7 linked regions of the Macaca fascicularis genome follow. The protein of the gene in region 3 interacts with the protein of the main gene of each other region in a pairwise test. Links are inferred from orthologs where the notes say so. Each region holds a gene or a part of one and is shown on either strand. Other genes may lie near its edges. The genes, in order: KRT40, PAK5, ATPAF2, LZTS2, SORBS2, LRRFIP2 and FSBP.

The links.
Region 1: the proteins of ATPAF2 (region 3) and KRT40 interact in binary tests that used the Homo sapiens proteins (3 or more experiments, as listed by UniProt). The two-hybrid records come from large-scale screens. The link is inferred for Macaca fascicularis from reciprocal best matches to the Homo sapiens genes ATPAF2 and KRT40.
Region 2: the proteins of ATPAF2 (region 3) and PAK5 interact in binary tests that used the Homo sapiens proteins (3 or more experiments, as listed by UniProt). The two-hybrid records come from large-scale screens. The link is inferred for Macaca fascicularis from reciprocal best matches to the Homo sapiens genes ATPAF2 and PAK5.
Region 4: the proteins of ATPAF2 (region 3) and LZTS2 interact in binary tests that used the Homo sapiens proteins (3 or more experiments, as listed by UniProt). The two-hybrid records come from large-scale screens. The link is inferred for Macaca fascicularis from reciprocal best matches to the Homo sapiens genes ATPAF2 and LZTS2.
Region 5: the proteins of ATPAF2 (region 3) and SORBS2 interact in binary tests that used the Homo sapiens proteins (3 or more experiments, as listed by UniProt). The two-hybrid records come from large-scale screens. The link is inferred for Macaca fascicularis from reciprocal best matches to the Homo sapiens genes ATPAF2 and SORBS2.
Region 6: the proteins of ATPAF2 (region 3) and LRRFIP2 interact in binary tests that used the Homo sapiens proteins (3 or more experiments, as listed by UniProt). The two-hybrid records come from large-scale screens. The link is inferred for Macaca fascicularis from reciprocal best matches to the Homo sapiens genes ATPAF2 and LRRFIP2.
Region 7: the proteins of ATPAF2 (region 3) and FSBP interact in binary tests that used the Homo sapiens proteins (3 or more experiments, as listed by UniProt). The two-hybrid records come from large-scale screens. The link is inferred for Macaca fascicularis from reciprocal best matches to the Homo sapiens genes ATPAF2 and FSBP.

Annotation. Positions count from the first base shown.
Region 1 is NC_088390.1:62,067,983-62,072,198, reverse strand, and holds the start of KRT40 (keratin, type I cytoskeletal 40), read left to right. Parts: upstream 1-1,416; 5' UTR 1,417-1,470; coding exon 1,471-1,917; intron 1,918-2,615; coding exon 2,616-2,698; intron 2,699-3,311; coding exon 3,312-3,468; intron 3,469-4,216. UniProt on the Homo sapiens protein: May play a role in late hair differentiation.
Region 2 is NC_088384.1:77,744,157-77,747,656, reverse strand, and holds part of PAK5 (serine/threonine-protein kinase PAK 5), read right to left. Parts: intron 1,103-3,500; coding exon 317-1,102; intron 1-316.
Region 3 is NC_088390.1:18,141,158-18,144,657, reverse strand, and holds part of ATPAF2 (ATP synthase mitochondrial F1 complex assembly factor 2), read left to right. Parts: intron 1-12; coding exon 13-158; intron 159-1,971; coding exon 1,972-2,069; intron 2,070-3,500. UniProt on the Homo sapiens protein: Plays a role in the assembly of the F1 component of the mitochondrial ATP synthase (ATPase).
Region 4 is NC_088383.1:109,962,960-109,966,459, forward strand, and holds part of LZTS2 (leucine zipper putative tumor suppressor 2), read left to right. Parts: coding exon 1-592; intron 593-1,479; exon of another isoform or gene 1,480-1,910; coding exon 1,911-2,168; intron 2,169-2,922; coding exon 2,923-3,500. UniProt on the Homo sapiens protein: Negative regulator of katanin-mediated microtubule severing and release from the centrosome. Required for central spindle formation and the completion of cytokinesis.
Region 5 is NC_088379.1:190,372,412-190,375,911, reverse strand, and holds part of SORBS2 (sorbin and SH3 domain-containing protein 2), read left to right. Parts: intron 1-1,244; coding exon 1,245-1,359; intron 1,360-1,444; coding exon 1,445-1,573; intron 1,574-3,500. UniProt on the Homo sapiens protein: Adapter protein that plays a role in the assembling of signaling complexes, being a link between ABL kinases and actin cytoskeleton. Can form complex with ABL1 and CBL, thus promoting ubiquitination and degradation of ABL1.
Region 6 is NC_088376.1:99,207,095-99,211,080, forward strand, and holds the start of LRRFIP2 (leucine-rich repeat flightless-interacting protein 2), read right to left. Parts: upstream 2,801-3,986; 5' UTR 2,297-2,800; intron 1,100-2,296; 5' UTR 1,033-1,099; intron 1-1,032. UniProt on the Homo sapiens protein: May function as activator of the canonical Wnt signaling pathway, in association with DVL3, upstream of CTNNB1/beta-catenin.
Region 7 is NC_088382.1:104,083,837-104,087,814, reverse strand, and holds the start of FSBP (fibrinogen silencer-binding protein), read left to right. Parts: upstream 1-1,178; 5' UTR 1,179-1,254; coding exon 1,255-1,628; intron 1,629-3,978. UniProt on the Homo sapiens protein: Transcriptional repressor that down-regulates the expression of the fibrinogen gamma chain. Represses transcription of GSK3B gene promoter via its interaction with APBA1.

The sequences.
Region 1 (4,216 bases), about 44 Mb from region 3:
GACACTCTAAGAACTTTTTGCATAAGTGTTGATGTGTAAAGAGAATCACTAAATTCAAACCTAACTCTGCCCAGGGAGTAATAAATCCTCAGAGACTATTTTAACTCACTTACATATGTTCTTCTGGTTTGGTTTCTATTATCAGCTACCTAGGAAGTAGCCCTCAGGATTAGGGGAAAAAATAAGTTTATTCTGGATCAAAAAATTTTTAACTTTTTCAGATTACTGTGTTTTCTTTTCCTATAATGTTCTCAAAAATTCTACAGGCAATTTTCTCTATGCACCTTTGAAAATGAAATAAACATAACGACTAAAACCAAGCAAAGTGAAACAGATTATGCTTCATAATGGAGCTGAAATCCAAGACAGAATCCAAAAAAGTTACACATCTCAAGTTCCTATCTGTCAGATTTGGCACCAGAGATTTCATCCAGTGGAATCACTGATTTGGAACCTAAATAAAATTTTATTTTGCAAGTTCCAGCAGTTTTAATTTTCATGAAATTCAGGCCTTCATAAATAAATAAATAGGAGAAAACAGGCTGTACATCTCAGAAGAAAAGACTCCTGTGGGTTCCTTGTCCCTACTCTGAAGTATAATCATTGAGGAATTCCCAAGGGACTAAAAGGTTATAACTTACAATTTATATTTCACTCTCATTAGAAATACACGTAAAATAGTGTAACTTATCTAATAACAAGAAATGAGAAATGGGGAGAAGGCAAGTTTCAGAAAATCAAAGATCATAATTCCAGCTCTAACCAATTTATATTTTAGCCTGCAGAAAAACAAGTTATTCCTATCAGTTACGTAAAGTGACTTTTCCATTTGTACGCAGGTAGACATGTTTGTATACACACACACAAACACACACACACACATTAAGTCCAATATATAGCTCACTCCTCCAGTCTTGTCAGCACATACTCTGAGAACACAAAAAGCATTGAAAGATTGCTAATCACACTGACCATTTTTATGGTGGTGGCACAAACAAATAAATGTCATTTTATGAGCTGTAATACTAATTTTAAAAGGGGACCCAAGCAATCAATGCACAGAATCAAAATCTGTGGACATGTTATTTTCCTGATTTGTAATGAGTTGTATCTATAATTATTGATTGGCCAAATTTTCTCTTTCTTTTCTTATTCTGTCAAAAGGACAATGTTTCCTATGACAATTTTCTGAAATAAGTGTTTTGTCTGGCACATGGAAATGGTGTAGGTCCTGCTTCGGTAACCTAAAGTTATCCCTCTTTTATGAGGCATAAAACTCTTCCTCAGTAAATAAACAACTCTAATGAGATGTTTGTATGAAAACTGGCACCATCAGTGATAAAGAAAACATCCGGTGCAGTCTGTAAACACCCATTTTGGGGCGTTATAAAACTCTCAGGAGGGAAGGAGAGTTTTGGAGTCAAGGCAACTGAAGTTTTGCAGCCAGCCTCTGTCTTTGCTTCTGGAAGGATGACTTCTGACTGTTCCTCCACACACTGCTCTCCTGAATCCTGTACCACGGCCTCCGGTTGTGCACCTGCCTCAAGCTGTTGCATAGAAACAGCTTGTCTCCCCGGTGCCTGTGCTACATCCCGATGTCAGACTCCAAGCTTCCTATCCAGGTCTCGCGGGCTGACTGGTTGCCTCCTGCCATGCTACTTTACTGGGAGTTGTAACAGTCCCTGCTTGGTGGGGAACTGTGCCTGGTGTGAGGATGGGGTGTTCACTAGCAATGAGAAGGAGACGATGCAGTTCCTGAATGACAGACTTGCCAACTATCTGGAGAAGGTGCGCAGCCTGGAGGAGACCAACGCAGAGCTGGAATCCAGGATCCAAGAACAATGTGAACAGGATATCCCAATGGTGTGCCCGGATTATCAGTGTTACTTCAACACCATTGAAGATCTCCAACAAAAGGTGTGTGTCCTGTTGCCCTAGTGCTCCACCTTCCGGATCTATGACTTGCTTTATCTTTCTACCAGAGGGACGGTTTTCCAGAAGGCAACCAAGGGAAAGGGGAATTCCAGGAGTTAATGGTACATAGGGGAGACCACTGGACTGAAAGTCAGAAAACCTCAGCACCAGCGCCAGAACTACCCCTGATAACTGAGTGACTATAATAAAGTAACTCGCCCTTAGGCTTTTCCTTCATCATCTATAGAATGCAGAAAAACTGTATTACATCCAAAATCGCTTTTGTATTTGACACTGAACATTTATATTATCTGAACACAAATCGTCAAATGCCATCTTTTTAACCACCTAGTAATCATTTGCTTGTCTCCTTGATGAATTTCTATTATTATGGGAGAGGATAGAGTCATAATACAAACTACTGATGGAGAAAACGTTAATGGTGTTCAACTGCCTAGGGATGTTGCAAAGTGTCTTATGTTATTAAAAAACTAAACCTTTTTATTTCTCTATTTTGCTTCTAAATTGGCACTGCTTTTTTCTTCATGAAGCGACAAGGTCAATAAGAAAAGCAGGCTGAGGGTGATTTTATACTTTCTTATAAAGACTTTCAAAAGATAACTAATGGCACAGCTGTTGGATAGAAGTTTATTTAGGTTTCTCTCAAAGAATCATTTGTCACATAATGGCTTGCTTCCCAGATCTTATGCACGAAAGCAGAGAATTCTAGACTTGCTGTACAGCTTGACAACTGCAAACTGGCCACTGATGACTTTAAGTCAAAGTAAGTTTAATTTAATTTAATTTAATTTAATTTAATTTAATTTAATTTACTTATTTTGAGGAGTTTCACTCTTGTCGCCCAGGCTAGAGTGCAATGGCGCTATCTCGGCTCACTGCAACCTCTGCTTCCTGGGTTCAAGCGATTCTCCTGCCTCAGCCTCCTGAGTAGCCGGGATTACAGGCAGGCGTGCGCCGCCACCCACACCCAGCTAATTTTTGTATTTTCAGTAGAGATGGGGTTTCACCATGTGGACCAGGCTGGTCTTGAACTCCTGACCTCAGGTGATCCACCTGCCTCGGCCTCCCAAAGTGCTGGGATTACAGGCATGAGCCACCACACCCTGCCTTAATTTTAATTTGAAAATAATTTATGGCTCGCTCTCTCTCTCTCTCTTAATCTCTCTCTCTCTCACACACACACACCCCCACAAATATTCTCTATATAATATTTTAAAGTCAAGAATGTTTTAAAAGCTTGAATTTATCATTACTTAGGAATTAAGAGAAATTATGCATGTGGCTTCCTGAAGTCCATGTGTCGATCCTCCACGTATCCCCACACTTTGCACAGCGTTCAGCAAAGTAAGCATTGGATTTCTCTTTTGCCGTGAAAGGTACGAGAGTGAACTGTCCTTTCGCCAGCTATTAGAGGCAGACATCAGTGGCCTGCATGGGATCCTGGATGAGCTGACCCTGTGCAAATCTGATGTGGAGGCCCATGTGGAGTCTCTGAAGGAAGATCTCCTTTGCCTTAAGAAAAACCATGAAGAGGTAAGGAAAGCGGCAACGCCACTGAAGGACTCCGAGAGTAACGTACTTAACACTGACAGATGATCTGTTGATGTTTGTAAATCAAATTTGGGCGGATGTTGCTTAAGCTGGAATAAAACTACTCCAGGCAGGGCCAAGCGCGGTGGCTCATGCCTGTAATCCGAGCACTTCGGGAGGCCGAGGCAGGTAGATCACAAGGTCAGGAGTTCGAGACCAGCCTGGCCAATATGATGAAACCCCATCTCTACTAAAAATACAAAAATTAGCTGGGCATGGTGGTGGGTACCTGTAGTCCCAGCTACTCGGGAGGCTGAGGCAGGAGAATAGCTTGAACCCAGGAGGCGGAGGTTGCAGTGAGCCGAGATCTCACCACTGCACTCCAACCTGGGCAACAGAGCAAGACTCCATCTCAAAAAACAAACAAACAAAAAAGCAGAAAAACTACTCGAGGCATTATTACTATTCAACCTGATCATTCCAGCGTGTCTCTGAATTAACATGTGAAATAGCCCCTAGACAGTGCCAGACAAAGGAACCAAACTCTTCTCCTGCCCTTGCCTTTGTGGAGGAGGTGAGTAACTTCACAAATGGCTTCCTTTGGAGGCTTTATGCCACCCCTAGCTCCAATCCACAGGGTATGAAAATCAGTCTGAGAAACAGACTATGAAGTCCGTTTCAAAAAAGGGATAAGGACTCATACACTATCTGGACCAGTGTTTTTAAATATTCCGCATTTATAAACTTTTAA
Region 2 (3,500 bases), on a different chromosome or scaffold from region 3:
TTAGTGAAATACAGTCACATCATATTTATCACTCATATATCAGAATATCTTTCAAATAAATAAGTTTATTTGCCTTTTAATGAGAAACCAGGTAGGAGGGCCCAAAAGATAGGTTTTGATTTTAATGAATATATATGCCTTATCCTAAATCTTCTGCCCTGGGGCCTCAAAAGTGGAGACAGGGTGGGTTTTGATATTAATTTTCCCTTAAAAGGCAAACAAGTAGTTGGCAATCTGATCGTATAAAAAGATCATCCCAGCACCACCCTTGTGGAGGTTTTTGTACACTTCAGGGAAAGGAGGTAGCAAACGTTACCTTTGGAATGCACATTGTGGGCTCGGACAAGCGAGGGTAGGTGTAGGAGTTGTAGGAGTGTCCTTGGGGATGGGTTTTAAATGCACTTGCTCCAAATGGCATCATCGGTTCCTGGAGCCCCGAGCCTGACCTGGACCTCTGCCGCATGGCGGGCTGGGGGCTCGTCTGATTCAGGTACGAAGACTTCGGCCTCCTGTCATAGTCATCCAGGCTGGGTCCCCATTCACTTTCACTGTATGCCAAGCTCTCCTTGGAGCACCCGCTGGTCCCTGCAGTTCTAGAAGGTGTGAATTGGAATGAATAATCCAGAGGGGAGCTACTCGAGGCTCTCTGATACTCCCACTTGAGGTCACTATATTCACTTGGTTTGCTCAGTGAGTCCAAATGTGAGTGATAATCAGCAGAAAATCTGGCGAAATCGGATTTCAAAGGCTTCATCTCAGAATAGTAGGCCTCCCCGTGCTTCATTTTCATTACGTGCCCATTTTGTTTGGCTGCATGGCTGCCTCTATAATACGGATCCAGATCGTCTCCATAGAGACTCTTCTCCCTGTACTTTTCGGTGGTGTAGTCAGCAGTAGTATCGGATTCGCTGGAATACTGGGAGAAGGTGATGAAGCCATTTTCTTCCGCGTGGCCTGGACCGTGGCTGGAGGCTCCCTGATCTGGGGTGGGTGGGCTTTCTTTCCTTAGGGAGTTGGAACGAGTCACCGAGATGTTGTCAAAATCCTCTAGCAGGCCGTTGATGGAGGTTTCCTTGCAGGGTTTGTTTCCTCTAACGATTGTCTGGGGATAATAAAAGGAATACTGTTTGAGGAAAATATTTCATGACTTTAAGTTGACGGCGGCATCCCACCCCCACTCCATCCAAATTAAACTACAGAAGGAAAAAGACCCCAGGAACACTTAATACAAAATGACAAAGAAAAAATCGTTGATTAACTGTAGTGGTGAAATAAATGAAATAGTAGACAATAATCTCAAATTGCAATTTTCTTCCTACCTATCTCAATAGAGACATCAATTAACCACCAAAAAGCCATGTACGAGACTACATAGGCTCTCACTGTTTCATTTACCAGTTTACAGGCAAATCCCTTCCCCCTGCTTCTTCTACCTAAATAATAAGCCCCAACCATCTATAGATGAGCTGATAATTACAATTTAACACTCTATAACTGTTTGGTAATAAAAAATAATATTTATTACTGTTTTACATTCATTATTCAGATGATTTTCAAAACCAGAAGGCATTGTCGCCCAAGTATTAACATAACTAGAAATGGGTGTACATTTTTTACCCTTATATGGAAGACACATAATAACTGAGGTTATGAAATTTTATAGATGAGGAAGGCACTTCTTGAAACTGTAATTAGGAAACAGCCTGAAGATTATTTGTGTGATTTATGATGAAATGTGATATTCTTATTAAGTATATATACTTATACTATACAGCTTGTTTGCTCTGGCCACACTTCTGCGTAACATCATCGCTGAATTTTGGGTGGCTTAGTAATGATGGTTGCACCTGGATCTTAGTGACAAATTGTTCCCTTTAATGAACCTAAATAACACAAGAATACCAGGAACTGAAAGACATCGCAAACCACTTACAAAACCGTCAGCTGTTCCTTGACAATGACAGGATTCGCAGGAAAATATGATGGGGGTGGATAAAAGAACAAAGAACAAAGTGTTGTGACTTCAGACTTCCAGGATTTTAGGAGAAAAATACCTTTGAGCAACTAGCAAGGAGTTCAAAACCATCTTGGATGGTACAATAGAAGACTTCAAACTGGAGGAGGAAGTCAAAGTTTTCCTGGAGCTGATGTTTTATAAATCTATCCATGGTGAAACAGAGGCTTTATTTTTTTTTCTCTCAGAGTCCTGGACTAATGCTTTTGTTCTATACCCTTTTCTTTCAAATACATTTTTTGTTCTAGAATAGTTTTAGATTAACAGAGAAGTTGCAAAGAGAATACAGAGTTCTCATAGACTTCTCATCCAGTTTCCCCTTCTGTTAATATCTTGCATTGCTATTAAGGAAACTCCATGTTCCTATAGATTTCATTAATTTTCTTCTAGCGTTCCAGAGTTCTATCCAGGATATCTCGTTACATTTATTTGTTGTCTTCCGAGTTTCCTCTGATCTCTGACAGTGTCTCAGATTTTCCTTATTTTTTGATGACCTTGACAGTTTTGAGGAGTACTGGTCAGGTATTTTGCAGAATGTTCCTCAGTTGGGGTTTTCTTGTGTTTTTCCCATGTTTAAACAGAGGTTATTTGGTTTGAAGAGGAAGACCAGAGAGTAAAGTCACATTTCATCACATGATGTTCAGGGTACATAACATCGACATGACTTAGTAATGATGATGTTAGCCCTGACTACCTGGGTGAGGTCGTATTTGCCAGGTTTCTTATACACACTGTCCCACTCCCCTCCCCTAGCTTTCCATATATTGTATTATTTGGGAACAAGTCAATAAGTGTAGCCTCTACTCAAAGGGCAGGGATTTAAGCTCTGTCTTCTGGGGTGTGTGTGTGTATGTTGCGGGGTATCTATATAAAGTAGTTGGAATTATTCTGCACAGACTTGCTTATTTGCTCCCATTTACCTACTTATTCAATTATCTATTTATCTATAAGGATGGATGGACTCATGGTTATTTATTTTATACTTTGGGTTATAAGCCAAAACTATGTTATTTGCCTTGCTGCTCAAGTGGTTCCAGCTTCTGTCACTGAGAGTTCTCTCAGGCTGCCTGCTGTGTCCCTTTCACAATCCCTCTTCCTTTTATTTTTCGAGCACTTCCTGACTTTCTGTCACTACAAGAAGCTCCAGGTTTATCTTTTATTTTCCCTGCCCTTCCCCCCAAATCAGGCATTTCTCCAAGGAACCCCAACAGTATTAGAAATTAAGATTTGGTTCCGGGAATACTCATTGCTACTGGGTATCACTGCCAGGCCTCAGCAAACAGAGCTCCGAAATAATATGTTTGTAGACTAACTCATGAATACACTCACACACCTATAATTATATCTGTCCATCTGCATCTATATTAACCTAAGCATAAATCCATATTAATGTCTCTGAATCTGATCAAGTACCACATAGTTCATTCTAGCCATTTCGTTACTTACCTGTAACTTCGCTCTGTAACAGTAAAAAACATGGACCCAA
Region 3 (3,500 bases):
TGATCTTTCAAGGTGGCTTTGAGATAAACCTGGACCAGAGGAAGCTGAAAACTCCCCAAGCCAAGCTCTTTACCGTCCCCAGTGAGGCCCTGGCCATTGCAGTGGCCACTGAATGGGATTCCCAGCAGGATACCATCAAGTACTACACCATGCACCTGGTAACAAGTTCACAGTGCGAATCTGGACCCTGAGACCCACCCAGGGCTTCCTAGGGTAGATCCCTTACCAAATTCTGACAAGGCCCTGGGGGATGGTCCTTTGCCTACCTGGGCCCCAGGTGTTCACCTCCTCTCGAGTCACTAATGTGCTAAACTCTTTCCTTGTCTGGCCTGGCTACTTGCAGTTCTCTCTCCTAGGAACACTGTGCTGGATGACTGGTTTCTCCTTTGGTTTCAGGACAGATGTCACCTTCACTGACTCCCCAGCTCTCTTATTTTCTATGACAGCAGCTGGCCATTTGTTTTGTCAGCACTTAGACAATTTATAATTGTTTTATGTTTGCACATTTATTGTCTGTCTGTCTCTACTGCCTGGTAAGCAACAGAAAGGCAGGAGCCATGTCTGTTTTACTCACCAGTATCTGGACAGCCACTAGCAGGTAGTTTAGTTGGTACTTAATAAATATTAGTTGACTATAAGACCCACTGGAGGCAGATGGGCGAGGTGAGGAAGACTCCCTATAGAACCAGAGCCCCTCGTCCACACCAAAGTGGCTCATCTAGGCACCAAGGCTGCCTGGGGAAGGAAGGGCCCAGCCAGACTCTTTGGTCCAGCCTCTGCAGCTTCTAAACTGTAACCTTGGGCAGGTTGCTGCCCCTTTCACAGCCCCGTATTCCCCATCTCCTAAAGATGAGTGATAATAGTACCCACCTCACAGAGCCATGGTCAGGATGAGATGAGATGATGCAAGAAAGCCCTTGGCATGGTCCCCAGCACTGACTGGGCACTGAGTCAGTGTAGGAGTCAGCTGCTGTCATCCCAGTCGCTGCTGTGCTCAACCTTTGCAAACTCACATGGGCCTCCTGCCAACATCACAGCCTGCTGAGGTGCTGGCCTAATCCTTGACAACCTAGTGAAATTGGGGTGATTGGGGCTACAAATGAATAGGGTAACCTAAGCAGCCTGTTATTGACAAGGTAAGCCTGGAAAAAAATAATATATATATATATTTTTTTAAACAGAGTCTCGCTCTGTTGCCCAGGCTGGAGTGCAATGGTGCAATCCCAGCTCACTGCAACCTCCGCCTCCTGGATTCAAGCGATTCTCCCGTCTCAGCCTCCCAAGTAGCTGCGATTACAGGCGCCCACCACCATGCCTGGCTAATTTTTGTATTTTTAATAAAAATGGGGTTTCACCATGTTGGCCAGGCTGGTCTTGAACTCCTGACCTCAGGTGATCTACCCATCTCAGCCTCCCAAAGTGTTGGGATTACAGGCATGAGCCACCACACTTGGCCAAAACAAATAATCTTAGTCCTGATTTGCATGGTCTGTTTCCCTCCTTTCTAAGGTGTAAGGGAGGCAGCTGGTAAAGGTTTCCAGTCAGATTTGAGCTCCATCACTGATACGTGTCTTATTAACTGTATTTGATGATGTACTTAACCTAACCTGTCTGGGCCTCAGTTTTCACATCTCAGATGGGCATAATAATAGTACCTATTCCAAAGGGTTGTTGTGAGGATTAAATACACTAGAACCTGGTAATAATGTGACTGTGGGGAGGTTCACTAATCATGGGGCTGCTGCAAGCTTCCCTCAAGTCCTGTGAGCATCGACAGAAAGCATTTGGCATGGGGCCTGGCTGTGGCACACTCTCAGTAGCTGTGCTGCTGCTCCGGTAGTGCAGATGCCTCTGGTGGAGGGCTGTGCTGTGGTGCTATCTGCTATGTGTCAGATGAGGTGTCCTCAGGAAAGCAGGGCTTTTGTCTGAGCCCCACAGGCAGTGACAGGGTGGTTTTTGCCTTTGATTCAGACCACATTGTGCAACACATCCTTGGACAACCCAACCCAGAGAAACAAGGATCAGCTGATCCGGGCAGCCGTGAAGTTTCTGGACACTGACACCATCTGGTAATGGACATTTAGATGGGCATTCCCCTTGGATTGAGACAGTCCCTGGGGCTATTTTTCCTGATTTGCCCAGATGGTTATCAGTGGAAGAAGAAACCCTCTCCATTTATTGCAAGGACAGGGAAGGTGGCCCACTTGACTTTGGCATTTGGCTGCTCTGTAGCCCCTTAGGAGGAGGACTGCTCAGGCTACAATGGTGTTAGAACATGGCCACCCCTCTTCTCTAGCCTAGAAGCTGCTCCTTAGGCTGGGAGGGTGGTTATGCAGCTCTTGCAGGTGCCGTGACCACAGGCTCCTTAGGCCTGGGGGCGCCTGTGACCTTAAACTTCTGCCCACTGACACTTTCTCAGGTAGACATCCTTGGCACTATGGATGCTGATAAGTAGGAGTGTCCTTCTCCAGTTCTGAATTCTCCTCTGTGTCTATATATCTTGGCTAATTGGTCAGTGTTGCCGAAGGAAAGTTGAGAAACAATGGAAATGATTGAGCAGCACGGTGCCTGCTAGCCCAAGTGCTCTAGTATCCTGAGTCATCTCACGATGACACAGGAAGTCAGCACTGATGACTGGAGGCATGCTTTCGAAGTGGGTGGCCCATAGCTAGTGGGAAAGCCCGCTCCATTTATATTAGGTTCACTTGACTTCAGGGAGCAGAAACCCATTCAATCTAGCTCAGACAAAAAGAGGATTCTTGAAAACTATACAGGGATCCTGACAGGAAATGAAGGACGATCGGGCCACCAGGAAAGGGAGCTATAAGATCCAATGTCAGAGCTCCTCCCTGTGCCCTATTGGGGTGAGCGGAAGGTGAGGGAGGAAAGGTTGGCTGCCCATCTGCCCCTCCCAGCATAACTCATGACCTCTCTTCCCCACGTTGCTTACACAAGACGGTGGATTTCCATAATGCCTACTTGGGTTCCCATCCCATAAAACCCTGCAGCTCAGCTCCCCTCAGCTGACTCATGCCTGTGTCTCTTGGTCAAACAAATGACACAGCCTGGCCTCTAGCTTGGTCCCATCAGGTCTGGCATCTGTGCCAGCAGCTGCATCTGTAGCCAGGAGGTGGATGGGCTTGTGAGGTGTAAACAGGCTATTTTGGTCTGTGACCAGGGGCACAGTCTCTTGGAGGGGGTGAGGGTAGAGATGCAAAGACTGAGCATCTGGCACAGCATTCCCATTCAGCATCCAGGTCAAGCGGGTGTGGACCCAGGGTTGCAGTTAGTAGATTGGATCTGCTTTAGAATGACAGTAACATAGCGCAGCAAGCTTGGACCTGTCAAATATTTGGGGGCATTTAGGGTAGTGGTTCTCAAACTCAGGCTTACATTAGAATCCCCTAGAGGGCTTGTTAAAACAGATTGCTGGGCCCCACTTCCAGAAGTTCTGATTCTATAGGGATGCAGCCTGAGAATGTGTATTTCTAATAAGTTCC
Region 4 (3,500 bases), on a different chromosome or scaffold from region 3:
GTCCCTGCCTAGCTTCATGGGTCCTCGGGCCACCGGGCTGTCTGGGAGCCAGGGCAGCCTGACACAGCTGTTTGGGGGCCCTGCCTCCTCCTCCTCTTCTTCCTCCTCCTCTTCAGCTGCTGACAAACCCCTGGCATTTAGTGGCTGGGCCAGTGGCTGCCCATCAGGGACGCTATCCGACTCTGGCCGAAACTCACTGTCCAGCCTGCCCACCTACAGCACCGGAGGTGCCGAGCCAGCCACCAGCTCCCCAGGCGGGCACCTGCCTTCCCATGGCTCTGGGCGAGGGGCACTGCCTGGGCCAGCCCGAGGGGTCCCTACTGGGCCCTCCCACTCAGACAGTGGCCGGTCCTCCTCCAGCAAGAGCACAGGCTCCCTGGGGGGCCGTGTGGCTGCCGGGCTTTTGGGCAGTGGTACCCGGGCCTCCCCTGACAGCAGCTCCTGTGGGGAGCGCTCACCACCACCCCCGCCTCCACCTCCTTCCGACGAGGCCCTGCTGCACTGTGTCCTGGAAGGAAAGCTCCGAGAGCGGGAGGCAGAGCTTCAGCAGCTGCGGGACAGTCTGGACGAGAATGAGGCTACCATGTGCCAGGTGTGGTCAGAGGCAATGATGGGGAAGGGGCATGGCAGGACATCCCAAGGCCTGGGGAATGAAAGGGGCATTTCCATTTTAGCAGGGAAGAGGGGTTGGGTAGTTGTAGTTGTGACCCCCCTGCCCTCCCCACCAGTTGTCTGGTTTAATTTGTGGAATAGCCAGACGTGGTGGCTCACATCTGTAATCCCAGCACTTTGGGAGGCCGAGGTGGGCGGATTGCTTGAGCTCGGGAGTTTGAGACCAGCCTGGGCAACATGGGGAAACCCCATCTCTCCTAAAAATAAATTAGCTGAGTGTGGTGGCATGTACCTGTAGTCCCAGCTATTTGGGAGGCTGAGGTAGGAGGATCACTTGAGCCCAGGAGGAGGAGGTTACAGTGAGCTGACATTTTGCCATTGCACTCTAGCCTTGGGTAACAGAGCAAGACTGTATCTCAAAACAAGAAACAAAAAACAAAACTTGTGGGGTGGAAAGGAGTCAGAGTGCATGGATTCAAACCTCCCACTGCTAAATACCAGTTTTTGGACTTGAGCAAGTTGCTTAACTTTATTCAGCCTCTATTTCTTCATCTATAACAGGGATATTTCTAGCTTCATAGGATTGTTATGAGGATTAAATAAGGCAAAAGGTGTAAAGTGCTTAGACTAATGCCTGGTATCTAGGAAATGCTATACATAAATGCTTGCTTTTTTTTTTTTTTTTTTGAATTTTTAGTAGAGACGGGGTTCCCACCATGTTGGCCAAGCTGGTTTCGAACCCCTAGCCTCAAGTGAGGCACCCGCCTCAGCCTCCCAAACTGCTGGGATTACAGGCCTGAGCCACTGCACCCGGCCAAGTGCTTTTTTTTTTTTTTTTTTGAGACAGGGTCTCATTCTCTCACCCAGGCTAGAGTGCAGTGGCGCGATTTCGGCTCCTTGTAGCCTCAACCTCCTGGACTCAAGCAGTCCTCCCACCCCAGCCTCCCAAGTAGCTGAAACTACAGGCACACGCCACCACACCAAGCTAATTTTTGTTCTTTGGAGAGGCAAGGTTTTGCTGTGTTGCCTAGGCTGGTCTCGAACTCCGGAGCTTAAGTGATCCACCCACCTCGGCTTCCCAAGATGCTGGGATTACAGGCGTGAGGCACCGAGCCCGGTCTGCTTGCTCTTGTGTTTGTTTCTATGATCATTATAAAAGCAGTTAGTATTGTTGCAATTACTATTGTTGTTTGATGGAATACACCCTTCCTGAGCCCTCAGAAGTGGGCCGCCAGGCAGACACTGAGTGGGGAGTTGGGAAAACTGCCCAGGAGCTGGGTCTGTCTTCTCGCCTGCAGGCATACGAGGAGCGGCAGCGGCACTGGCAGCGAGAGCGCGAGGCCCTGCGAGAGGACTGTGCAGCCCAGGCACAGCGGGCACAGCGGGCCCAACAGCTGCTGCAGCTGCAGGTGTTCCAGCTGCAGCAGGAGAAGCGGCAATTGCAGGATGACTTTGCACAGCTGCTGCAGGAGCGTGAACAGCTGGAGCGGCGCTGCGCCACCTTGGAGCGGGAGCAGCGGGAGCTCGGGCCAAGGCTTGAGGAGACCAAGTGGGAGGTGGGCCAGACCAGGAGGGGCAGGGAGCAGGGTCACACAGGGAGAAACCCTGGAAAAAGGGGCCCAGCCGCACCCTCCCTCAGCCTGCCACCCCCAGAGGTCCTCCCCTTCCTCACCTCCGTGAGATGAAGTTCTCCTCTGTTCCTTTCTGGGAGGAGGGTCTCCTTGTTGGCCTTGTCTAGTGGCACAAAGCCACGCTCCAGCCAGTAGTAAGAATGTGGTGTTTGTGGTGTGGAGGCACTCTTCTAAGCATGTTACATGGGACAGATCATTTCATCCTTGTAACAACACTGAGGGGGCTACCACTAGTCTCCCCATTTTAGAGATGAGTAAACTGAGGCCCAGAAAGACTGGAGTGCCAAATCTGAACCCAGGCAGTCTGGCTCCAATATCTGAGCTCTTAACCAAGTCACTGTAGTACCTCTCCAGTAGACACCTGGGTACTGCCCTCCATTGCCCCCACTCCTGCAGCACCTGCCAGCACCCAGTCCCCAGGGCTCGGTGGTACTTCCACAGTGTCTCGTGATGCTTTGAAGACACCAACTTTGAAGCAAAAAAATCTATGTCTGCTTTCCACTTAAGCCACATCTTCACTCTATGACCTTGGACATGTCACTAGACTTGCCTCAGTGTCTCCATCTATAAAATGGGGATAAAGATGGACTCTCCTCCCGAATGCCCAGCATGATGCACAGGGCCTGTCCCCCCAGGAGAACCTGTCTCACCATCCTTCCCCACTGCCTCCCACCCCCAGGTGTGCCAGAAATCAGGCGAGATCTCCCTGCTGAAGCAGCAGCTGAAGGAGTCTCAGGCAGAGCTGGTGCAGAAGGGCAGCGAGCTGGTGGCCCTGCGGGTGGCACTGCGGGAGGCCCGTGCTACCCTGCGGGTCAGTGAGGGCCGTGCGCGGGGTCTACAGGAGGCCGCCCGAGCTCGGGAGCTGGAGCTGGAAGCCTGTTCCCAGGAGCTGCAGCGACACCGCCAGGAAGCCGAGCGGCTGCGGGAGAAAGCTGGGCAGTTGGATGCTGAGGCGGCTGGACTCCGGGAGCCGGCTGTGCCACCTGCCACCGCTGACCCATTCCTCCTGGCAGAGAGTGATGAGGCCAAAGTGCAGCGGGCAGCAGCCGGGGTTGGGGGCAGCTTGCGGGCCCAGGTGGAGCGATTGCGGGTGGAGCTGCAGCGGGAGCGGCGGCGGGGTGAGGAGCAGCGGGACAGCTTTGAAGGGGAGCGGCTGGCCTGGCAGGCAGAGAAGGAGCAGGTGATCCGCTACCAGAAGCAGCTGCAGCACAACTACATCCAGATGTACCGGCGCAACCGGCAGCTAGAGCAGGAGCT
Region 5 (3,500 bases), on a different chromosome or scaffold from region 3:
CTGTGAATCTTTTTTGTTTTTAGGGTTACTGAAAATTTAACACATTTTCAGTTGTGAAGATTTTAGCACTTCTAAATGTGTGATCATTCCTTTAATATGCCACCATTTTTTCCATCAATTATTTTAATCAGTGAGAAGTGTTCTCCATCAGGCATCAATCTCTCTCCATCATATGGCATCTACTGATAAATGATCCAACTGAAAATTCTGAACCAAAATTTTTTTTAAAAGATTAAAGAAATGAAAATTCTGAACAAAACAATGCAGAAGATTCCAGAGTGGGAAGGCAGATGTATTGCAAAGCAAGGCTCTCGGGAGAAGATACAAATTAATCGCCCTCCATCCAAGAATACTTGTGGAGGCAACATAATGAACCAACCTAATCACCTGGTGATTAAGCCAGGAAAAATCAGTGTAGTGAAGGTGATAAATTTAGGTGTGAATTATTCAAAATGAATAATGTCATTATAACTTAAAATTATAAATGCCCAAATCAAATATACCTACAATTTTCTTAGAAATAGCCAAAATGGAAAAATACAGTTAGTGTCTTAAAAAATATTTTTATTTTTTATAAATAAAAGATAGAAAGAAGACAAACATTGGCATGTCTTTGCCCTTAAAACACGTTCTTTGTGCCCCATTGAAAATTAAAAGCGTAAGATCTTTTCTGTTACACAAAATAAATTCCTTATCAAGATAGTCTATTAAAATATCTGTCAACCAACTTCAAAGATCCACAAATAAAGTTTGTTCTGGTGTTGGCACTTCTATTCTGAGGCTACATGAGATTTGTTTGCCTTCATGTAAGCTTCAGTACATCAAAAGGGGCTGGGGGGCTGGTAACTAACTAGCCAACTAGCTTCAAGACAAAAAAAAAAAAAAAAAAAAATCAGTGCAGAACTATTCCATCATTTTCCAAGCTTCAAAATGCCTCTTTTCTGAACTAATGATAAAGTAGCAAGAGTCTGTCCCCTCCTTTAAACTTCATATTAATCTGTCCATGATTTATACCCAATGGAATGTTACTCTTTTTGAAATCATTTCTAAAGTTATGATGTTTTAAGTGCCTTCTAAGAATTTGCAAGGATCTTTCTTATCTAATCGGACTCAACTCAATCTCAAATCGGATTTTTTAATATTGTAAGTGTATTTGCCAAACAAATGCCGATCTAGCGAGGGTGCTGATCTTCAGAATTATCGCTGTACATCATGAGAAGACCATGTCAACGTGTTTCTTCCAGGGAGCTGTCATTTAAGAAAGGAGATACCGTCTACATCCTCAGGAAAATCGATCAAAATTGGTATGAGGGAGAACACCACGGCAGAGTGGGCATCTTCCCGATCTCATACGTAGAGGTAAGCCCTCTGCCTTTCTCTCTTGGATGGTGGTGGTTTCCAGGGTCACCACAGATTTGAGAATAGATGACCATTTCCTTCACAGAGACTCACACCTCCCGAGAAAGCACAGCCCGCGAGACCACCTCCGCCAGCCCAGCCCGGAGAAATCGGAGAAGCTATAGCCAAATACAACTTCAGCGCAGACACAAACGTGGAGCTGTCACTGAGAAAGGTAGCCCAGCTGCTTTTTGTTGTTGTTGTTGTTGTTGTTGTTGTTGTTGTTGTTGTTGTTGTTGTTGTTTCGTCAGTGTTTGAAAAGGCTGTGTATTTTCAAAACGAAAATAGGTTATCTTTTTCTTTAGACATTTTAATGTCAGCCCTATTTTCTACAAAGGACTCCCTAAGGCAGCCCAGAGTCACGGTTCCCTGCTGGTCCCTGTGTCCTTTCAGAGGAGTTCCCTGTGGGATACCAGGCTTCTCCCTCTGTGACTCAGTCCGGGAAACTGGGCAAGGGGCTGAAAAATCAAGGACGTATACATTCGGGAGCACAAAAGGAAAAAGCAGTTTGATACACTTCAAAATATTGTTGTTTTGCTGCCTTATTTTTCAATCTTTTAGAAACAAGATAATCCAATCCTTATCTTCCTCTATCTTGGAATCTAGGAATGGTCCTAGGTGAAGAAAATCCTTCCTCTTGGGGAGCTGCTTTAAGAACCGCCTGTGCAGTGCTCTTCCCTGGATCATCCTTCTTTGGGTCTCATAATTGACCCAAATTTCTCTAGCAGCCCATCCAATCCTAGCATCTCTTCTTAATAATATCAAAAGACTCGAGGCCGGGCGTGGTGGCTCACTCCTGTAATCCCAGCACTTTGGGAGGCCAAGACAAGTGGATCATGAGGTCAGGAGTTCAAGACCAGCCTGGCCAACATGGTGAAACCCCATCCCTACTAAAACTACAAAAATTAGCTGGGTGTGGTGGTGCACACCTGTAGTCCCAGCTACTTGGGAGGCTGAGGCAGAGAATTGCTTGGACCCGGGAGGCGGAGGTTGCAGTGAGCTGAGGTAGTGCCACTGTACTCCAGCCTGGGCAACAGAGCAAGATTCAGTCTCAAAAAAAGAAAAAACAAAAAACAAAACAAAACAAAAAAAACTCTTCTTGCTACTTTACATAACTGAGAATGATAAATCAACTATTTTTATTGCTTTCTAAACATGACATATATTTGTTTGAGGTAACTGCCTCTGCACACAACACAGGCAAGATAGTAATATTTAGAGTGGCTCTAGGACTTCCCACGCCTACTAGTGAAATCCTTAGCCAGGTGCGATGAAGGGCAATACCACAGTCCTGGTTTGTTCTGGTCCTGGCAGAACCTTGTCTCATTCTCTCCTATCAGTCCTAATTCGGCATCATCAGCCGATTCCTTCTTTCCTACCCTCTGGGCTGCGCCACCCAGCATTACATGAACTCTATCTCCTATTCCATGCTCTACGGAAAGGCTTCACCAGTGCCTCTTACAGCTCACACAGGAGCCTAGCAACTGCCTGTTCTTGGTGTACTAGAAAATCAGTGCAATTTTCAGATTTTGGGGAGACTGACTTTTCGTTTTTCTTTCTTTCTTTTTTTTTTTTTTTTCTTTTTTTGAGATGGAGTCTCACTCTGTCACCCAGGCTGGAGTGCAATGTGTATTCTCAGCTCACTGCAACTTCCGCCTCCCAGGTTTAAGCGATTCTCCCACCTCAGCCTCCGGAGTAGCTGGGACTACAGGTACCCACCACCACACCTGGCTAATTTTTGTATTTTTAGTAGAGACGGGGTTTCACCACGTTGGCCAGGCTGGTCTTGAACTCCTGACCTCATGATCCACCCACCTTGGCCTCCCAAAGTGCTGGGATTACAGGCATGAGTCACCGCACCCGGCCTGAGACTGACTTTTCTTGAGTATGTGCTGCTCAGTCACCACTGAGCACACAAAATCAACCATCCAGTGTTTTGACACAAAGAGAACTTTCCCCAAGTGCTACTCAAGGTCGAAGTTCTTCTTGGGTAGCACCTGAAGAAGGGTGCCCTATTGGGCTGAGATTAATGACTGTTTCAGCTCCATCACACCTTCAGGTGCCGCTGCCAAGCTTCTGTATCACCTGCTGAATGCAGCTGC
Region 6 (3,986 bases), on a different chromosome or scaffold from region 3:
GTAGTACATTTTCCCCATTAAAGGACCATCTCTCAATTTAGATGTTCCAGATGGAAAGCAACTACCTAAAAGGAAAAAGCTATGAAACAGCCTCTATTTTGCAGGTGCAATGGATAATGATCCTAAGGTAAAGACGGAAGAATTTTATTTCGTTTTGAATGATACTCGTCAACATTCCCAACACACTACAAGAATTATTTTTTTTCTATATATCATCAATTCTGTTCCTTCTCACACTAGCAACAGGCTAAACAATCCACAAACAGTTTTGCAAGAAATTGCTCCCTCCCTCTTGCTAAATTCACATCTAACCAAGATTTGTTTTTGTTTTGAGAGACAGAAATACTTTGCCAAATGCATTCTCCATATCACCTTTTCCTTTCATTACAGAGATACTTAAATCCTGACCTGGAAAGGTTTCCCTTGCGTATTTACCTATCAAGACTGTCAGTTACGGTGATTTCCACAAGGGATTTTCCAAAAGGGAATCTGTGTTCACAGGGAACTGAAACTCTTTAGTCACTATTAGCTGGACAAAAATCAAAAGCAACATTAGGGAACACTCTGAATATAATGGATATCCAAAGTAAAAGAAGATGTCAAAATTTAGTGAAAGAAGTAAAGGAAGTTAGTAAGCTAGACCAACAGGACAGACTTGCCATTACTTTATAACTAGCTAAAGTTCTTCATAAATGAAAATCAAGGTAAAAAATCAGCTGAACTCCAACAGAAGGAAAAGAAAAACAAGGCTAAGGGTATCAAGAACTCTGTGATTTCAACCTTATTTTACTTAACACTTGAAAGTCAAAAATGATCAAATTACATTTCAGCAATAAAAAGCTATTTCTAGTTTAAAGTGAATCCATTCCAATCACAACTTCAATACACACTTTCTTCTAGAACAGAACTTAAATAATAACTCATGTAGTTTCATTCTACATTTTTAAAGACAGAATCACAAAAATGGGTGATGCTTTCCACTCAAAAGACTATTTTGTATAGTGCAAATTCTTTCAGTGAACATTTTCATACCTTAGTGATGGTAGCTCTCCTTTCCACTGACACTTACTTCTAGACCCCTTCATTTATCTTCCCACATCTGGCAAAAAAAAAAGTGGGGGGAAGGGTAAAACCAAAACAATCACTTAAAAACCAACAGACTATTCTAAATTCGAGCATTCTGCAAATACTTCAACTTTTATTTCATTACCATTCTTCATGATGACAAATATCCAGCAACAGACCTAACAAAACATAATACAACACTTTCTACTAAATGAGTAAAGAATGCCATCTCATTAGGCAGACACGAACTTAGCTTTTCTCTATTTCAATTTTCAGATTCATAGCAATGATTCACAAAGTGAGTGATCTACCTTCGAAATGAATCACACTTTCCGAAATTCTTATTCTACATAAGTATATTATAATACTAGGTCATTATCTCTGTATCTGTTAAACAGAGCATGATGTTGGTTAAACAGGGTTAGTGCTGCAACAACCTTGGAGTCCCTGCCAACTAACTCTATTTGCAACACTGCATTCTCCAATAATTGCACTTTTTCATATAGATTTATCCCCAAAATAAAATGTTATCTTGAAAAAATATTATTTTAAACACTGATTAAGAACTTATACATCCACACCCTGCTCTCCCTCTCTGTTCCATTACTGCATCCACATTCTCTTCCAACTATGACAACATAAAAAAATTAAGAACCACTCTTATCCTTACATCTCATTTTTAGTCAATCAATCCACTCTACAATTTTTTTGTTTATACTAGAAATGCTGAGTTATTAAATGGAAACTCAAAGAAAACCAGCTACTAACAGTTAAGGTTTAGGATACAATATTTATCTAGTCATGTCTCAGCAGCCTGTATTTGTAGCTCCCACGGTGGAAAAAGTAAAGCAAACACTTGAACTTTTTTCTCTCTAAGAAAGAAAAAGAAGTGGGTTTCCTTAGGTCCTCCTGCATCCTGCCGGTTACTCACAGGCAGGGTTGACTGGAGCTCTGTAACTTAACAATCTGGGTGTCAATAACGCCTCATATTAGTCAAGTATTAACCCAGCTAGGGCCTGTTAAACCCGCGCTCCAGCTCAGGTCAAGGAAGAAGTAAAATTCCCCAAAAAATGCTACGCCCTACACCGTCCTGACACCGTTCCCTGGGGGTGCTCGTCCCAGGACAGAACTGGAGTGTGGCATCTAGGGAGGAAGAGAAGGCGCCTGGGGCACCCGAAACGGAGGGACAGCTGCCCAATTTAATTTCTCCCACAGTGGGAGTAACACGTACCTTTCCCCTGCGCGGAGGAAGGGTGAGCGTTAGAAATCAGACGGGATGTCTGAGAACGCCGCAGGCAGGGGGCGACCCCAGTCCGGGAGCCTGCCGGGGGCCGGCCAGTCCCCAGGGAAGCCCGGCCCCCTAGCCGAGGTCAGAGGCGGCGCGGATCCCACGGGACTGCGGAGGCCGGGAGGAAGGTCCCCAACTCCCTGCTCCCTGCTCCCACCGGGCTGGCGGGAGGAGCGGCCCTTACCTGGGTTAGGGCGCGCGCTGTGACTGCGTCGCTGTCCGGGAAGGGCCGAAGAGCGGCTTGCCCGCCCGGCGCCCGCTGGGGCTAGGGGCGAGGGGCGCAGCTGGACGACTCAGTCCTGGGTCCCCCGGCCAGGCGGGCGGGGATGGACGCGGCGGCTCCCGGCACCGGCAGCCGGCTAGTCGGTCAGGCCGAAGTGCCCTCTGCGCCGCGGCTGAGACAGCGGGAACCGGCCCCGGGAGGAGCCGCAGCCTGAGCGGCCGACTGAGGAGGCAAAGGATGGGCGGGGCCACAGGGTCGACGACCCGCTCACCCGGAAGCAGTTGTGGCCGTGACTGCCCGGGAGTGGCGTTTGCCGCAGGCCGGCCTTGCACCCCGCTGGGCAAAGTACGCGGGGCTGTCAGACGACGAGCTGAGCCCTGGGCCGGCGGGTGAGGTTCCCCAAGCGGCGGTGCTCCTGCCTCCCTGTTCCGCCATTGCGAGCCGTTAGGGCCAAGCTGGAGGGAGGGCGGCGAGGCGCGGCTGCTGGTAGGGCGGGGCCCTGGGCTGCTGGTGGGGCGGAGGCTGGAGGCGGCCTTGGGCGGGTGGCTTCTCTGGGTCGCACGGTTCCTGCCCAGGCTTTCCGAACCAGGACCAGTGCCGGTAATGTGAATTGACACTTGTTCCGATTCAGGGCTGCCCTTACCCTGGTTGCTCCTAAACCCTGCGGCCTGGTGGGCTTGGGCAAGTGGGCTGGAGTAACGCTCTGTTAGGAAACGAGTATGCGAGGGAGGGTGGGTGGGTGTGGTCGAAATGCCCAAGCTTCACTTCAAAAATGAAGACGCATGACCTTAAAATTATTTCTGGAGAAGAATACTTGCCCGAGAGGTGGAGTGGGGGACGGAGAGCGGGATGGATGGAGGAGTATAAAGTGTGTTAAAAATCTGATAGACACGGACTTGTCATTTATTCCGGAAGTATCTAACGAGGCCCACCAGGTTCAAGCCACTGGGGAAGGACCAGGGTTGTGCATTTGGAAAGCTCACCTTAGTGGAATAGACGGACTGAAGCAAACAAACAAGGTAATGACAGGTGTAGTAAGGCTTTGCAGGAAACACACAGAGTGATGAAAAAGATTTTGTGGACGAGGCCTCTGGCTGGATAGGATGGCTAGAGAAGACCTCTCGGAGGAAGTGATAGTTGAGGAGCCTCCTAACAAAAAAGGCACGAAATACACCTAACCACAACTTTACATACAGGGACTGCAGATTCCAGAAGCCCCTGAATAAGCCCACTAATTCCATGTTGAGCACCTGTCTCTAAAGCCTTTTAAGGACTGTTTCTGTGCTGCCCACTTCCCCTGCAATTTCAGAAGGCTTGATCACCCTTACAGTTTATGGGGGCTGCCACTGTGGCACTAATGGGGAAGGTTCGAGAGACAAGGACAATTATACCCATCAGCTTTGAGAAACA
Region 7 (3,978 bases), on a different chromosome or scaffold from region 3:
GTAGGTGCTATATTTAGATTCACTTTTGATTTCATTGGGTCTTGCACAGTGCCTGGGAGCATTTATATATGTGGTCAGTAATTAAAAAAAAATTATTTTTCCCACCTCTTAATACTTTGCAGTTGTTCAGTAATAGTTTGATTGGATAGAACTATGTTCAAGTATGTTCTGATTTATTCCCCTACCTGGAAAAACATGTATATTGTGAGAAAATAGGTTTGTCTTGCTTACATTATTATGTATCATATATTTTCATACTGGGGTTAACAAATATATTCTAAGTACTGAAACTGGTGGCCTTGAAAATGGCTATACTAGCTGTTTCCTTTCATAGTCCAAACTGTGTGAATATAGCTAAATAAAAAATCTGGCTGTATTATAATAGCAAATGCGATTTCGTGTGTGGAGTCTTAAGGCGTGATTATACTGTTTCTCACCATGAATAGTGATTTTTTACACATGATAAGGCAGGCTAGCATATTCACATACATTACGGCTAGAATAATCCATTGCTCTAAAAACATGATTTTTAGATTGAGTGTTCTATAAAAATTTTTTCTTAACTGAAAAAAATATGCAGAGGCTAATGTAGACTGTAAAATGAAGGAGAAGCTTAGCTTTACCGTGGAGTCTGGGTCTGGGTGTAACCTAACTAGCTAGGGGATATGCAATTCCTGATTGACAGCAGGTCCAGCATTATGCAGATTTTGTAAGGGAGAACACTCAGCTCAGAAACAGTGATGAGAGGCTCTGTTAGGAATTACTGCATTCACCACTCATATCTTTTAGTTTTCTGTCTACTGGATTTGCAAACAAATAGCACAAAACAGTTCCTCTTTTGTTTTTATTAAAGTGATACTGCAATGCAGTTCAGTCTGTCAGCTAGGCATACGTGTGAAATTTGATATTCTCACTAAATTAGCTAATTTTTAGCTGTGTTCCATGCTTATCTCTAGACCTTTGTGTATTAAATCCTGTCTCGAGCTGTTCCTTTTATACACAAGTGTGTTTTGCTTGTGCCTTCCTGTCTTCTTCAGTGAGAAGCTTTATGTAGGTCAGGCTTGGCTTAAGCAGATTTCCTGAACCTGCGTCAGCTTAAGCTGGAGGAATTTTAATAAACCCTCCCCTGTAGGCGTGGGCCTAAATGAGGCTAGCCTAGTTAAGCCTGATCTTTTTCTGTTTGTGAAAAGAGCTGAGCAGAGCTGAAGGCTGCATGGTGGTTTCAGAAACTGCCTACTTAATTTGAAAAGAACAATGGTAGGAAAGGCTAGATCTTCCAATTTTACCTTATCCGAAAAGCTTGATTTGCTAAAGCTTGTGAAGCCATATGTGAAAATTCTCGAAGAACACACTAATAAACATTCAGTAATAGTGGAAAAGAATAGATGTTGGGATATCATAGCAGTTAACTATAATGCAATTGGAGTAGACCGCCCTCCTCGAACAGCACAGGGCCTACGCACCCTTTACAAAAGGCTCAAAGAATATGCCAAACAGGAGCTATTGCAGCAAAAAGATACCCAATCAGATTTTAAAAGCAATATTTCTGAGCCAACCAAGAAAGTTATGGAGATGATTCCCCAGATTTCCAGTTTTTGCCTGGTAAGAGACAGGAACCACATACAAAGGTAAGCTTTATTTTGTTTTGTTATGGAAAATTATGGCGCCTCCTATCTATTGGGCTTTGGCTTAGTCGTGATAGAGATATGCATAGTAAGCATCCCCACAACGGGAGCAATGAATAGTGTCTTTGTTTTGCATTTTTTAAAAAGAGAAAAGTGAGGCTATGAGGAATTTTTCTGTTGCATTTAAGCTACTTTTTACTGTCTTCCCCTCCCCCTTCCCTCCTGTAGTTTCTAAAAGTAAAGGTTAGGGAGGAATAAGTGGGATGAAATTTGTGACATAACTTCATAAACTTTTGAAGCTTTAAAATTAAATTATTTTGTTTGCTTCTGAGAGATACTTTTTTTCTCTTTTAGTATTACATTTCACTGGAATTTTCAATTTTATATAAAATTTATATAAAGTTAGCAGTTTCTAGAGAAATGGAACCTTTGTTTTTTATGAATTGTCATTGTCTACACTTACTGAATATGTGTTAACTAACAAATATAACTTAAATCAATAAGTAAACTTGTTAATGGCATGATTGTGTATATGAAGACAGTTTAAATTATTTTTCTAACACATTTAAAATAAAGATGAACGCAACTAAAGGGAGTTAATGCCTAATTAGGGATTCAGTTTACTTAATACAATTAAAAGTTTTTTTTTTGTTTTTATTCCTTAATGGTCTAGTTTCACTTTGATCTTGGATCATATAGGAAAGAGTAAACTTTCTCTTACTGCTTTGCAAGGATATCAAATTATGAATTTTAAAATACCCCTAAGAGCAACTGGGTTATTTTAGAGTTAGAAGCAATTTTTTGGTTAAACTTGTGTTCTATGTAACTGTTTGCCTTGGAATTTTCAAAAGTATTATCTTGCCACTAATTCAGATTGTAACCTCTGGCAAAATATAAAGATGGCAGCTACATTCTTATTCTGAACCATTTAGATTAATTTAAACAAATTGTAAACTCCTTGTTAGTTTGAGGAGCCTTTCACACAAAGCTTTACACAATGTGCTTTTCTATTGGTGGAAGAGGCATTATATAAGCAAATTATTGATTACTGTGAAATCCCTTTGAAATTAGAAGAGAAACAGAAAAAAACCACTTTGTAGCCAAGTGCATATGTTATTTTGGTAATTTACTAGGAAAGTATTTTTGAGCCTAGCTTCTTACCAGATATTGCTTATTTCTACTTGATAGCACAGTAAAAAAATACCACCAGTGGGAATCCAGGACGTGAATGCACAGTGGATTAATTCTTGGGGCCACTGGTTAAAATGTTCACTGTGATGACAAAAGATGAAATCCCAATAGCTGGATATCCAGAAAACTACACAGTAAAATTGTTTTATACTATGCTACTTATGCAGAATTTTGTCCCCCTTGAACCCTGGAGAAAAATGCTTTTTGCATTGCAGGTATAAAACTGTACCCTGTGGTTAGTAGGTATAGGTTTTTATAATTTGAAAACTACATGTAGAAACTGTGATTTTAATTAGTTGCATATTTTAAAGATACAGTGAGTATAGAAGAGAAACAATATATAAATATACAAGTATCTGGTTATATTTTGACCATTTGTGTGTGTATGTTTACAATATTCACACACAAAAAAATCTTTTGGGATATCAACATTTCTCTGATAAAAATGAGTTGATTTGTGCGTTTCTATACCTATGACTTAAATAATATCAATTTGTTAGGTTTTAAAGGGAAGAATGTGAGAAACATCCCTCTTAAATTCTTGTGTTACTGTGTCTGCATTGACATTTTCTCTGTGTTAGCTTATTTCTTTAATCTATATATTTAATGTGCTTATATTTATTTGATTGACATCATCCTTGAATCTTAATAATCTCAGAAGTTTATAATTATTCTATAATCTTAACTATACTTCTACATAAATATGCCTGTTAATCTTACCAAACTCTTCCTTTTTAATAAGGAAAATACAAGTGTTTGCGTTGTTTAAAATACTTAAAAATATATACCTGTTTTGTAAGGCTATTTATTTCAGTAACTCACATTGACTTATGTCTTTATTTTTACCTCTTCCTAATATCAGTTTTTATTTTGTGTTTTTGTAAACTGATCTTCAAAGTTCTGATTCTCAAGTCCTTCTCTGTCATTTTTGTGACCTGCTCTAAAGCTTTTTTTCTCCCTTTTTACATTGTTATGCCTTAGTTGTAATGTTTTAGCTAAAATGGAATGGAATGTTCCAGATATAAGGCATATTTTTAATTTACTTGGGAGTATAATGTCTATGTTTATACTCTTATTTTACCTACTAATTTGAAATAGTAATTATGTGATTTTAAAAACTTAATTTTCATATGCAATTTTAACCTTTTCCCATTCCAGGTTT